Rhinolophus ferrumequinum: one gene and its partner. Each later gene encodes a partner of the first gene's protein in a complex. Links are inferred from orthologs where the notes say so. Each region holds a gene or a part of one and is shown on either strand. Other genes may lie near its edges.

Region 1 (6,895 bases):
CTTAAGTTGAACTTCAGCATGAATTTCTAAATTTAAATTTTAAAACAACATGTGAGAAGTACAAAAATGACACGACATTTACTTTATATAATCTCAAAAGTCACAGCGAAGTAGATACTAAGCATTACTAAATGTATTACTCTGGAATGTCTGGACTTCTTGAAAATAAAGATTCAAAGTTAAACGGTAATTCAGCTTTCAATATTTTCCAGATAAAATAATATTAAAAGCAGATGTTGCCATATACAGAGAGATATATATCACCTTAAAACTAATTTTAAAGTAGTATGAAAAAGTCATTACCATTTACCCTATAATCCAGGGCTTTTAAACAATCTGAATAATTCCTTAGACTATGCAATGTCTTAATTTTATGTTTTAGGCTTAAACAACATTTTTGCAAAAAATAAAATAAATTCATGACCTGAATTAAGTGTAAAAATCTGTGTTGTCATACAAGCAAAATTTAAAAACATAATTCTTAATTCTATGCACCTGTTTAAAAATACACCTATATAAATGTTTTTAAAATGCATTTAGACCTGCTTCATCATAATGATTATTATTGCAATGCCCCCAAATTTACCAAGATTTGCTTTCATTATTTAACTATCATAATAGAGTTGGAAAAGCCAGTAAAGAACACTAAGTACAGAATAATGTGGTGATATTTACAGAATTTACACATTAATAGATGACTCCAAAGAGGCATTGGAATAAACTTAACAATAAAGCTATGCCTATTGGTCAATATTAATGAAAGTAAATACGTATTCCACCTCATACATAAGAATTCATTTATTACAAAAGCAGCAAATTCAACTCCGACTCAGTTTCTTTTATTAACTTTATCCAATCCCTGTCTTCTAAAAAAGGTACAATTGTCTCTCCTCAAATTAGCAATGAGAAGCAACTCTAAGATAAAGTATCTTCTGATACGTTAAGGATAAAATAAAGATCTAGCTCCCCATTCTCCCTTATTTTGCAACTAATGCACTTGAATCAGGTGGATCCATTTAGTTCATTAAGGTTCTCATTAATCTAGGCAATTCTGAAAAACAATTAGTCTAGATATGATTCATAGTCCAAAAATTAATGAAAATCAGGCACAGAGAAGAGATGAGATGAGCTCTTCCCTATAGCTTAAAATAAAAACCGTGTAAGATTCTCAAAATCCCAAGTACACATTTAATTCTCAGTTACATGGAAAATGACCTTAGTTGTATTTATTCAACAAATAAGTTCTTAATGACAATACTAGAAAAACATGCCAATAAATTACTTATTTAGTCTGGGAATTCACAAAGTATCAGGCAACAGAAAACCTGTAATAACATTCAAGTTCCTTGCTGATAAGAAATAGTTGTAAAATTAGTAAAAGTTAAAATAAAAAAATTTGAAGTAAAAAACTATGTGGTGATTATTCAAGAGTGAAATTCCAAAAACCAATTTACATGCTTATCTCTTCCAACAGACTACATTCTTTGTTTTATCTTTGTATCCCTAATACCTAGCATAGCAACTGGTATACAGAAAACGTCTGCTGAGTGAATCAGATCACTGTACTCTAAGGTGAACCATTTTTAAACCCAATAAGATGTTTTTATCACAATTTTTTGAAGATGAAAGTAAATATTCTATTTTACACATAAGAATTCATTCTTTACTCCAAAGGCAGAGTTGGGGACCTTTGTCCATAGACCTTCATACATGATAAGGTGCAGTTCACTTTGTAACAGTAAATACAGAATCCTCTCCACAAAAAAAGTTAGAGAATTTTGTTATCACCACCAAGATTGTTTTCTAAGGCTGCAAAAGAGCTAATACCTTATAGAGTGAAAAACTGCAAACCATCCCTTAATTTACTCACGCTTCTTTGAAAGACTAAAACCTAATTACACCTAAGTTTGTACACCACTCTTTCTTTATAAAATCAAGCAAAATTCATAGGTAATTTTTTAAAATTACATTCACCTTTTGGAAAACTTGTATTAAAAACAAATTCACAAGCAGTATGTCCCAGTATCTCCAATATCACTTAAACAGATTAATAGCACCAAAAAAACAGACTGCCAACTTGTGTTAATCTTAAGAGTTTCACTACAATAATTAGTTTGGCCTCTAAATTTTGCTACGTGGAACTAAATTGGTCAGTTTCCTGTCACTGGATTCTAAGTTAAAGTCAGACAACTCGATTTTATGAAGCAAAACGTGAGGCAGATTTGCTGTAATTTTTGAAACCTTTCTAGCGACAATGGAAAGTACAGGACATCACTTTCATTTAACGTAAATAAAAGACATGGAAGGAGATAAATTAGCAATCACGTGTTAATTTCACCATGAGAAGAGTTCCTTTTCGCTATCTTCAACGGTTGTAAGAATGTGAAGGAAAAACCACTCAAACTTCCAAAAGTTGACTGGGGAGGGAAAAAAGAAAAACAGGAAACCGAAACAGGAACCCGGACCTCAGCCTCTGCTAGAACTGAACGCTCTGATGATCTGGCGAAAGCCCCGAGAGTCCAAAGACAGGACCAGCCTCCGCTCCCGGGGCTGCTGGGCCTCCCTGGACACGCCCCGCCCGCGTCCCCCGGCTGCAGAAAGTGGACGCCGCTCCCCCAGGGGCACCGCGGGCTCCTCTGGAGAGTCACCGCCCCGAATGCCGAGCCCTCATCGCGCCAGCCTGACCCGCCATTGCTGGGACCCTTATCCCCAAAAGTAACGCGCTTGAGAACGCGTCCCTCTCAATGGGCAGAAAGTGCCCCGAACCCGACGGCTGCGCAGCGACCGCGACGCAAGCCCTCCCGCAGAAACGCCGCCAAGGCTGAGGCCGGAGCGGAAGCTCCCACCCGCAGCCCTATCCCTGCTGCTCCCTTACTCTGTGAGCCGTCGTCGACGCGGTCGAATTCCCAGTCCGGGGACAGAGTCTCCACCGCCATCACTACGACGCCTCCCTCAGTCACAGCTCCAGCCAGCCTGGTGGACTACGGCGGCCTCACCCCAGCGGCTGTCAAAACACGTGATTTCCGGCTCTGGCACCACCCCCGTGCGCGAGGGGCGCGGGGGCCGCTGGGAAAGCGAGTCCTACCCGGTGGCCGAAGGGAGCTGCAGTTGAGGCGGCGGTCCTCACGGTGTCCTCCCGTTTCTACTTGGGCTTCGCCACTGCTCTCTTCTGATGCCACACCTATACCCTCAATTTCGCCCTGCTGTCTCCAAGCTACTTTTAATACCTGGGAGTTGCTCCCTCAGTCGAGCCTAAAAAGGGCAAAATTGATGAGGTGGGGGCTTAACAGGAAGGCGTGGTCCGATCCTCGAGGAAGTCGCTGTCCAGGCGATTCTTCCAAGAAGCCAGCATTTTCAACGCTCTACCTGTCATCACCATCCGAGAGCTGCTTTCTTCCTGCACGTCTTGTGCGGATCGTTCTTGAAAAAAACAAAGAACTGCGAGGAATAGTGACTTTACAAACAACAAACCATAGCGAGGAATTTTACTACTCTACTTATGTGATACTTGCACGCTCTCCTCCCCCTGCTCTCAAAGGTGGGGGGAGGGGGAAAGCGCTGTCTAAGTGTGTTTTTAAATGTCTACCTGCTACCTGGCTTTTCCGAAAATAAGAATCTGTGTTACCCAGTAACGCTACTTACACTAATGTTCATTGCTGCATGGTTTTTAACAGATACTAATAGGACAAGATACAAATGTCCATCAACAGGGAATAATTACGTAAAGTTTAATAATCCACACTATGAAATACTAGATATCTGTCAAACGAAATGAAATAGATTTATAGAGGCATGCGAAAACTGTTAATGTCTTCAACCAGTATTTAATCAAGACCTCCTCTGGTTAATATTACCACAGGGACTAAAACCCTTCAAAGAGTTCGGTTGTCTGGTAAGGGAAATTAGTAAGATATTTTAACTCAGGGATCAACAAAGTACAGTTGATAGATCTGCCACCTGCTTTTGTAAATAAAGATTTAATGGAACACAATCATGCCCATGTATTTGCATATTGTCTATGGCTGCTTCATAACACAATGGCAGAGTGGAGTAGTCCCTACAGTGACCATATTGCCCAGGAGGCTAAAATATTTACTATCAGGCCCTTAAGAGAAAGTTTGCCAGCCCTTACTTTAACTTCAGAAGAGCAAAATAAGAAAAAAAAAAGTCTTTCTATATAAGCTGTAGTCTACAGAGTGGGTTGAAATAACCTAATTTAAAAAGCATAATGATCTTAGAAAAGTCTTATAATTAATACATCAAAGTAATTGACAGGACACCTCTAGGTCCTGGAGGCAAGGAGGCAACCTAAAGTACTCAAATAGACTGGTTTGCAGTTAATAAAGTAGATAAAAATAACTTTTTAAAGATCTGAAAGAGAATAAAAGCAGGCAGAAACCACAGGAAAATTTATTCAGCAACTGGTAATAATTATGTTTATGGCTTTTTGCCTGACAGTGTCTTTCATCGCTTCAAATACAGGATTGCAACACTGCAGTTTTACTGGCTCGAGGTGGAGCAAAATTAAGTTCAGGGTTGTTGGAAGAGATGCCAGAAATTTGGGGGGTAGGGGGGAATCCTGAAGCAAGGGACACACAGAAGGGATGAAATCTAAATTCCGAATATAAACCCTGCCCTGATTCCTGGCTGACCACTAAACTACATGAAAGAGGGTCTGCTGAAATAGCAGTCAGGAGTCCTTGAAAAACAACTGTTGAGAGGTGTGTTTGCTGCCCTTTGATGCACATATTCTCCAACAGATGTGCACATCAGGTAGCAAAAGCTAACACCCTGTGGGTTTAAGATAGCGGAGAACAGAGGTTGGGCTCACAGAGCAGCTTGAAATTTAGAAGGAAAAACTGATAATCAAGGGAACTACAAAGGGAGTGAACTCCAAAATCTGAGCAAAAACACTGGCCAAATCTTTGTCTAAATGAAGAACTAAGCAGAAAAATAAGCTGCTGTACTCTACAAGGTTTGAGTCCAAGCAAACTTACTTCTTTCTAAATTAAAACCACAATAATTTTCTTAAGAATATCACAGAGAGTCACCGAATTGGCATTTTTTGATAATGAGTGATAAAGTTTTATTAACCAAAATCTGACAGAATAGAAAGAAGAAATAGATAAAATTATAAGTACAGTTGAAAATTTTAACACTTCTCTCTTGGTATTTGATATAACAAGTAGACAGAATATAGGATTGAATGATATCTCAACCAACTTGTCCGAATTGATATGTATAAGACATTCTACCCAACAACAGTAAAAGAGACATTCTTTCAAGCATACAAGAAATATTCAGTAAGACAGGCCATATACTATGCCACGAAACAAGTCTCACTACATTTAAATGGATTGAAATGTTATAGTTATATTCTCTGACCACAATGGAATTGTATTAGAAATCAATAACAGAAGAATCTCAAAATCCCTGGAATTCCCTAAATATTAGCACAAATCTCAAGTGCATTATGTTTAATGAAGAAAATCAGTCTAAAAAGTTACACAGTCTGTGATTACATTCATTTGACTTTCTTGAGGAAATAAAACTACAGTGGTAGAGAACATTTTAGTGGTTATCAGGATTAAGGGGTGGTTCGTAGACATGACTACAAAGGGATAGGGCAAGGAATTTGGGGGTGGGGGCTATGGGGAGTAGAACTGTTCTGTATCCTGATTGGTTCCTTACAGAGATCTATACATTTGTTAAAACTCAGAACTGTATACCAAAAATAAAGGCCATTTTGCTGTATGTTAATTTTAATACATCTCTTTGTGGGATTGGCCTTCACATGTGACTTCAGGATTGGACTTCAGGATTTAAATGATGTCAGCTCTTGGATTTTCACTTTTTCTTTTTGTTTCTTCACAGCTTTTGCTATGTGGTAGCCCTTGGCAGTTTCAGGCTCATCACCATACCAGATCTAGCAAAAGAGAAAAAAGGAACATGCAACTGATAGCTCAAACAGAAGTCCCAGAATTAAGTGGCTGGCCTTGATTCGCCTCATTACTAACACATTGTGTATACTGCTGAACCAATCATTGTAAGTCAGGGGATGGGAAGGATGTACGGATTGGCTTAGTCTAGGTCATGTGCTTCACCACTGGATCCTGCAGGGAGGGGTTGAGGGAGAGGTAACTTCATAGGAACCACATGGCCTAAGAGAGGGGGAGAAGCAGATCCTCAGAGGAAAACCAGGATACTGTTATCCCAAGTAGTGGGCTGGTCTTACAGTAGTGCTCTACCTGTAGATCACACTCTCTCCTAGGGTGATGTCTTCTTAGAATAGCAGTTGAGAGCCTGAGCTGTTCACTGGACTCCCTTCTTCTTGGCAGGTGTTTCTTGATACTATTCAGTTTCTTGATACTGAAAACTGCTTTGCTTTTCAGCATTTTCTTCTTAGTTTTATAGCCTTAATCCCATATTCCATAAGAATCAGCAAATAACTCAAACTGAAAACAGGTGTCGTGAAATAGGTACATCTCCCTTATCTTTAAAATATTGGCTCCTCAAGTCCTGGCCACTCAAACTCCAATTGTTGTTCTTTCTAACCCCATCAGATGCCTGAAAAACTGCTGGTTTCTTTGCCTTTTGGCATTTATTCGCTACCTGGTCAGCTTCTTTCCCCAAACCAAGCATTGATAAATGCCAAGTTGAAGAGCAAAATGCAAAATGTTAGATTCAATTCAACATTTGAATTGTTGGATTCAATTCAAGTGAGCTTCTTTTCCTTCCAAGACCTTGATACATCAAGTCTTGACTGCTGCATAAGCTTTCTGATGCCTTCAGATATGTGCTAAATTTGTTTTATCGAAATATACTAACTATTCTTGATGAGTGTTGTTCTGCTGAAAAGGAGTATTATAACTTAAAATGAAGTCTCATTTTATGT
Region 2 (7,556 bases), about 73 Mb from region 1:
GGCCCCTGGTTGCAACAGCGGTGTGGGTGGGGCTCGGTGAGTATGGCAGGGAGGGCTTAGGGGGCTTCATTTGGGCTTAAAGTGCTATGTGACCTCGGGTAAGTCGCTTGCCTGCTCTGAATATCTGATGCTATTTCCCATTCTACAGAGAATGGCACTGCTCTCTAAGGGGTTTTCCCAATATATCGCACCACATCTTCACCAAGTAGGTGCTTGCTTCTCCGCTCCCTCTGCTGGTTCCCCTGGCCCTTCCGTCCGCCCTACTTGTTCTCTCCTGCCCTTCCCAGGCCAGCACTTTCATTAGCCGAGATGACTGTTCTGCTCCCCAGCTTGTTTCCCAACAGTCATGTCCTCGGCTTCTCAGACCTGAACCTCCCTTGAATCCTCAACAGGGCCCAGCACTACTCCTCACTTCTCTTGCCTCCTATCAAACGACCAAGAGTGGTGCTAGCTGATCCCTAACTGTCTGAGGAATCTAATCCTGAGACACCCCCCCAACTCCTTTCAAGGAGAATCCCTCCACTTCTTGGTATTCATATTGATGCAAATTTGCTGGCCACCCTAATTTAGTCCCGAGCTTCAGCTTTCCCATCTGTAAGATGGGGAGGGGACCACAGGTAGAAGACACTTTCCTGTGCACATCTTGAAATGCATTCGTCATGGCTAGTCACCATATCTGTGTGTGTACACACACACGAGGGAGTGATTCAGGCACCAATCTCCTGAACAAGGAAGTCCTGGGTCCATTCAGGAATTAAGAGACTGAGTACAGCTGGTTGGCGGTTTACTCGTTCTGTCTGCAAACATCTACTTATCAACTATTAGGTGCCTGCCATGATCACAACAGAGATGAACAGGGCACTCTACTGGCCATGGGAATAGCCTCAAGAACAATTAAACAGCATGTGATGTGTTCTAATCCAGCCGTGAATACAGTACTAGGGGAACACTGAGGAAGGAGTGATGAACCTCTTCTGGGGTTAAGGGAGTCCGGAAAAGCCTCTTAGCAGACGCTGTACCTCCCTAACAGTCCCAGGGAAAGCATTCCAGGTAGAAGGAACAGCTTGAACAAAGGTGTATAGGGGAATGGCAAGTGGTCCTGAGAGGTGAGGGTATAACCATCCTTGGGCAAGTAGCAGGAAAAAGAAAGATAAAGAGAGGCCAGACTGTAAAAAGCACTGAATACCACAGCAAAGAGTTTGGACTGAAATCCTCAGGCCTGCATTGTCCAGTGTGGTGGCCACTAGCTACACGCGGCTATTGAGCACTTGAACTGTGGCCAGTCTGAATTGAGATGTGGCATAAGTGTAAAATATACACCGAATTTCAGATTTAGTAGGAAAAAATAATTTAAGATAACTTATTAAAAATTTTTACAGTCCTGGGTGGCCATTTAGCTCAGTTGGTTAGAGAGTGGTGCTGAAAACACCAAGGTTGCCAATTCGATCCCTGCATGGGCACCGTGAGCTGTGCCCTCCTTACAAAACAAAATTTTTTTTACAGTTCTCCCTGATTTGCAGGGGTCCGTTCCAGAACCCCCGGTGGATGCCTGAAACTGCAGAAAGTACTGGACCCTATATACACTATGTAAAATTTTTCCTATACACACATACCTATGAGAAAGTTTAATTTATAAATTAGGCACAGGAAGACATTAACAACAATTATAAAAGAGCAATTATAACAAGATACTGTAATAACAGTAATGTGAATGGCTTTGGCAAAATAAAGGCCAAAAGGGTTATCGGAACACAAGCACAGCAATACCTGGAAAGTTGATCTGATAACCTAGTCAGGTCTACAGAATGGTTACACTGGTCAAAGGGATGATTCACAACCCAGGGAGGGCAGAGCAGGACTGAGTGGGACACCTGCAAGATTTCATCACACACTCAGAAGGCGTGCAACTTACAACTTATGAAATGTTTCTTTCTGGAATTTTCCATTTTCAAACTGTGGTTGACCCCAAGTAACTGAGACTGCAAACAGCGAAATCGCGGATGGGGGGGATGGGGAGGGCTACTGTATGTTGATTACGTGCTAAAGTCATCATACTTTGCCTATCCTGAGTTAAATAAAAAATATTACTAAACTAATTTCATTTGTTTATTTTTTTTTAAATCACGTGTGTGGCTCACATATTTCTAATGAACACCGCTACCTTTGAGAATCTGGTAAAAACTATGGACGCTTTCAAAAAACTGAACCCACACCATACCTCTCTCTCATAATGCTGTTTATAATTTCGGAAGTGCATGAAATCCTTCCTGCAAACCCCCGAACACCCAGCTCCCAGGTCCAAAACGTCTGCTGTAGGTGATCAGGGTGGGGTCGCATAAGAGGGGCGAAGGAGGCAGAGGCATTAACCGGCCTCAGTGAGGGACGGGAGCTGCAAGAGGTCTGAGGCTTCCGTCCGCATCCTAGAGCCCGGCCCCGAGGGTGGAGAGGCACGTGAGGGTCACGGGGCCGGGCCGAGAGGAAGCGGAGGGCTGCGGCCTTCGGCGCGGGGCCGCTTCGCAGCAGGGCCCTCCTCCGGCCAGGCCTCGGCCTCACTCCGGGGAAGAGGGCCAGGGCAAGGCTCAGGCGCCCGGGCCGGAGAGCCCGGGACCAACAGGGGTGGAAATCCGCCTTACTGCTGGGCGGAGGCCCCGCGCCGCTTCCAGGCTGGCGAGTCCAGCGGCGGAGTCGGAAGTCAGCCCGGGCGCAGGGTCTGCAGTCCCACCCGCCTCTCGCCGCTGCTCGCTCGCGCCCGGCCCCGCGCGGGCCCGGGTCTGCGCCCAACGCGCCCCGGAGCTGCTCCCCCCAGTCCCCTCGGCGTGCGACCAGGGAGGCCTGCACCCTCCCCGGCCGCCCAGCCCCTCGTCACCTGCGCTCCGCGCCGCGCCGCTCCATCCGTTCCGCCCGCTCCGCCCGCCGCGCTTCCGCTCCGCCGGCGCTGTCGGGTCCTGGCGCCGCCGCCGCTCTGCGCGCGGCTTCTGGTTCGCTCGCTGGCTCCCCGAGTTCGGGCCCCGAGCGCGGTCAGTCCCCGACCCCTGCGTGGAATCGCACTCGGAGCCTCCCTCCAACCGCCGGGCGCTTGCCTCTTGTAGTCCCAACACCTAACCGCCGGCCCGCGCCCCCGTCGCTGCCCCTCACTGCCCACCCCTCTGGCCTCACCTGGGTTTTCTGCCGCCCGAGGCTCAGAGACGCCCTAGCCTTTCCCCGTGTGTACCCCCTGCACGACCCCAGCACAGGCCTGCAAACAGCCCGCGCCCTCCAGCCTACGCACTTAACATGTAATACGTCTTTTAGCGCGCCTTTATTTTCTCGTCTTGACTAATGTGGGCCGTTTTCCCCATAGAATTCACTAAGTTTCCGCCACCACCCTCACCGCCACCCCTTTAAAAATTAATTATATAAGCCAGACACAAAAGGAAAAAGACTGTATTAGATTCCACTTATATAAGACAGCTAGAGTAGTCAAATCCATTGAGGCAGAAAGTAGAATGGTGGTTGCCAGGGGTGGGGAAGCAATTTGGGATGGGGGAGTTATTGTTTAAAGGGTACAGTTTCTGACAAAGCCTCTGACCAAACTGTAGTCAGGCTTCACTGAATTCTCTTCCCAACTAGGCCTCTACTGACGTTTCCGAATTTTAGCGAGAATCCTGTTAAGTGGGTTTAGACAGAATCCCCCACTCTCTGTATTAATCAGATCACCCTCCGTACTGATCAAATATCAGACCAAATTCCTCATGCTCCAACATACCCCAGGTGATAGCTAGTCGCCCTGGCCTGCTTTCAGCAAGAATCCTGTCAGGTGAGTTTAGCAAAGAATTACCCCACCATTAGTAATTTTCCATCCAGGACCACCACTCCCAGCTCCTTGGCTGTAAATCCCCACTTGTCCATGCTATGTTCGGAATTGACCCCAGTTCTGTGCTGAGGTCTCTTTTCCCCTGTTGCAAAGTCCTAGATAAAATCTGCTTTCACTGCTTTAACTACTGTCCAGATCTGGTTTTCTTTGACGTGCCTGTTTGGGATGATGAAAAAGTTCTAGAGGTTGGTAGTGGTGATGGTTGCACAACAATGTGAATGTATTTAATGCCACAGAACTGTACACTTAAAAATGGTTAAAATGGCAAATTTTTTGTTATCACATACAAAAAACAAACTATTAGATTGGTGCAAAAGTAATTGCAGTTTTTGCAATTCTATTTAACCTTTTAAACCGCAATGACTTTTGCACCAACCTAACAGTTTTTTTAAAAAAGATTTTTAAAAAGGTTAAATATATAGTGGAAGTGTTAGTCCAGAGATCTCACAATTGTCCCTCCTGGAGTCCATTGGGGCTTGTCTTAGAGTTCTTGGTCTGTCTCTTTTAGAGTTGCCTGAGGAAAATATAGGACACCAAGTTAATTTGAATTTCCGATAAAAAAAAACTAATATATGTGTGTGTGTGTGTGTGTGTGTGTGTATTTAGTGTAATTATATCCCAAACTAAGCATGAGACATGCTAAAAAATTATTTGTTGCTTACTTGAAATTCAAAATCAAATAAGTATTTGATATTTTTATTTCCTAAATTTGGCAATTCTACTTTCTTCCTAACACTCTCCAAGTTTTGTCCTCCTTCCCTGCCCCTCCTTCCAAGAGAGTTAGGTTGAATTGTCTTTTGACAAGAACATTCCACCGTCTCACCAGCTGTAGTACATGGTCACCACCAGCTGTGGAGTCCACCTATATTATGGACTGAATACTTGTGTCCCCCCAAATTCATATGTTGAAGCCCTACCCCCCAATGTGGTGGTATTTGGATCTGGGGCCTTTGGGGAGGTAATTACCTCCTTTGGGGAGGTAACTGGGGCCATCATGAAGGTGGGGCCCTCATGATGGAATTAGTGCCCTTATAAGAAGAGACACCGGAGAGTTTGCTCTTTTCTTTCTCTTCACCGTGTGAGGACACAGAGAGAAGGTGGCCATCTGCAAGCCAGGAAGAGAGTTCTCAGGAACCAAATTAGCTGGCACCTTGAGCTTGGACTTCCCAGCCTTCAGAACTATGAGAAATAATTATTCACGTTGTGTAAGCCATTCAGGCTATGGTATTTTGTTTTTAACGAATACAACCTGCTAACGCATTTCCCCCTCACTCCTCCTGAGCAATGACCGAGTAACTTAAGGTATCCAGGTTACATCAAAGGAGGGGAAATGTGCTGTGTGCAGAGGACAGCACCCAGGATCGGGGCCTCGCCACTCATTCCTTGTATGACCTTGGGCCTTGATTGCCCCGTTTATAAACTGGGGTTAAAAGTGCTTGCCCTGCCTCCTTTTGAGAGCTGTCATTGGATGTCAGAAGTTCTTCGTGATCTGTAAAGTTTATTCAAGGACAAAAGGAAATTTGGACGTGCTCTGGGATGTCTGTCTATACATAGACACACAAACACACACCACGTGACAGGAAACCTAGCTGTGTTTTCTCACAAAAGTGCAGCTAGACAGTGCCCCATGGCCCAGGCCAGCCAGGTCACCTCCATACAGTTCACCTTTCACTACATAAAAGTTCTCTGCCAAATCTACTATTTGTAGACTCATCCCAGACCTAATTTTAAAAACTTCCAAGGAGCTGGATTGCAAAGACATTTGACCTCAGCCACTCAAGCTGCAATGGGAATCCTTGACCTCGCCCTGGAAAAGAAAAGCTGAATGTCAGCCTAATGTGTGGACCCTATGGCCCTACCTGCCTTTGTTGGCCCATTGTGTTATTCTATGTATATGAAATATCCAGAATATGTAAATCCTGGGAGACAGAGCATAGATTGGTGGTTTCCAGGATCTGAGGGGAGAGGAGAACGGGAAATGGCTACTTAATGGGTGCAAGTTTTTATTTTGGGGTGATAAAAATGTTTGGAACTACATAGAAGTGGTGGTTGCACAACATTGTGAAGGTGCTGAATGCCACTGAACGGTTCACTTTCAAACTTTCATGACAGTCATATAAGTTTGCTTTATATGACTTTCACCTCACTTCAAACAAACAAACAACAATAACAAAAAGATGCTAGGAGCAGGAAATGCTGTATCCATATGAGGCCAAGCCGGTGTCTTACCCTTTCTACCCTCCTCGGTGTGGAGCGTGTACTGGATGTGAGGTACATCAGAGAACGCAAGAGTCTGAAGAGACCTCAGAGGCCGTAGAGTGACGCTCCACTCATGGACACAGGAGCATGGTGGCAGCACAGATAGACTGAGGGCCTTTTCTCTGTATCCTCCGAGGATACCTTTTCCTTTCCCCAGAATGAAGATGACGAAGACGCAACAGTCTCCTTTGTCACCATTCTTTCAGCCCACATTGGTGGAGTGCTTGCTCTGTGCCTTCAAACAAGTCAGGGAAACGGACACTTAAGCTGATGCTTGCCAGGTGTGATTGCATTTTGATGGAAGCAGTGGAGGGCTTGCTCCGAAGCACGGAGCAAGGCGTGCATTCAGTTCAGACTGCTCTCGGTAGTGCAAACAAAAACCTCACGACAGGGCTTACGCATTAGGAGATGCTGTTTTCCACATTGGAAGAGAACCAGCAGTAGACAGAACGGGGCTGATTTCGTGGCTCCATGGTGCCTTGCGGAACCTGGAATCTTCTTTCTACTCTGCCTTAGCACATGGCAGGCATCCTTATGGTTGTAATACGTATGCTCCATTCCGGGGCATTGCAGCTGACTTCCAGGTGGGAAGAAAGGAAGCACAAAGAAAAAAGGCAAAAGGCATGTAGGAGGCCAATCTTTTCCTTTTTTTTTAAAGCTTCTCTAAGACTCTCCCTCCAGCAACTTCCTCTTACAATTTATTGGCAGGGACTGGATCACATGACTGCTGCTAGCTGCAAGGGAGTCTTGTGAAATGGGTATTGAAATCCCCTGAACAAAATTGGAATTTCATTAGGAGGAAGGGGAGAATAGACAGAGGGTAGTCAGCTGTGCAGTGTCTGCTAGATACACCTAATCCTTCCTTGTGACTTCGGGGGTTGCTCGGAGAAGGTTTCCTGGAGAACATGATGCCAGACACGAAGCTTAAAGAATAAGTAGGAGTTACCTCGGTGAAGCAGGGTGGAGTTATAGGCATTCCAGGGACATCAGACAGCAGGAGTGTACTAATTTAGGTAAGGTTAGCTGCTGCAACAAACTGAAAACTTTAAATAAAAACTTTATAATGGCTTAAATGTAATGGAAGCTCATTTCTGACTAATGGAACGTCTGAAACAGTGGATGGCTCTCCTTCACATTTTAATCCAGGGACCCAGGTACTTTCCATCTAAGACTCTACCATCTTCAACACGGGGCTTCCCAGATTGGAAGGGGAAAGAGCATGAAGAGCCTTGTGGGAGGTTTGATGGAACAGGCCTGGAAGGAGCATGCAACTCCTGTTTACATTCCATTGGCTGGAGCTGGTTCAAATGGCCACATCCAACTGCAGGGGAGACTGGGAAGTACAGTCAATTTCTATTCCCAGGAGGAAGAGCTAGCCAGTTTCTGCTATAATGATCAGGAGGTGAGAAAATGCACAGTTGGGTGTGGAGTAGGCAATGAGACA

Evidence for each region. Proteins that work in one complex are often made in the same cells at the same time.
Region 2: WASHC4 (region 1) and WASHC1 share a complex: the UniProt entries of both Homo sapiens proteins name them as parts of the WASH core complex. The link is inferred for Rhinolophus ferrumequinum from reciprocal best matches to the Homo sapiens genes WASHC4 and WASHC1.

The regions. Positions count from the first base shown.
Region 1 is NC_046293.1:15,084,671-15,091,565, forward strand, and holds the start of WASHC4 (WASH complex subunit 4), read right to left. Parts: upstream 3,005-6,895; 5' UTR 2,937-3,004; coding exon 2,876-2,936; intron 27-2,875; coding exon 1-26. UniProt on the Homo sapiens protein: Acts as a component of the WASH core complex that functions as a nucleation-promoting factor (NPF) at the surface of endosomes, where it recruits and activates the Arp2/3 complex to induce actin polymerization, playing a key role in the fission of tubules that serve as transport intermediates during endosome sorting.
Region 2 is NC_046293.1:88,119,826-88,127,381, forward strand, and holds the start of WASHC1 (WASH complex subunit 1), read right to left. Parts: upstream 3,019-7,556; 5' UTR 2,867-3,018; intron 2,837-2,866; exon of another isoform or gene 2,634-2,836; intron 2,593-2,633; exon of another isoform or gene 2,219-2,592; intron 1,964-2,218; exon of another isoform or gene 1,768-1,963; intron 1-1,767. UniProt on the Homo sapiens protein: Acts as a component of the WASH core complex that functions as a nucleation-promoting factor (NPF) at the surface of endosomes, where it recruits and activates the Arp2/3 complex to induce actin polymerization, playing a key role in the fission of tubules that serve as transport intermediates during endosome sorting.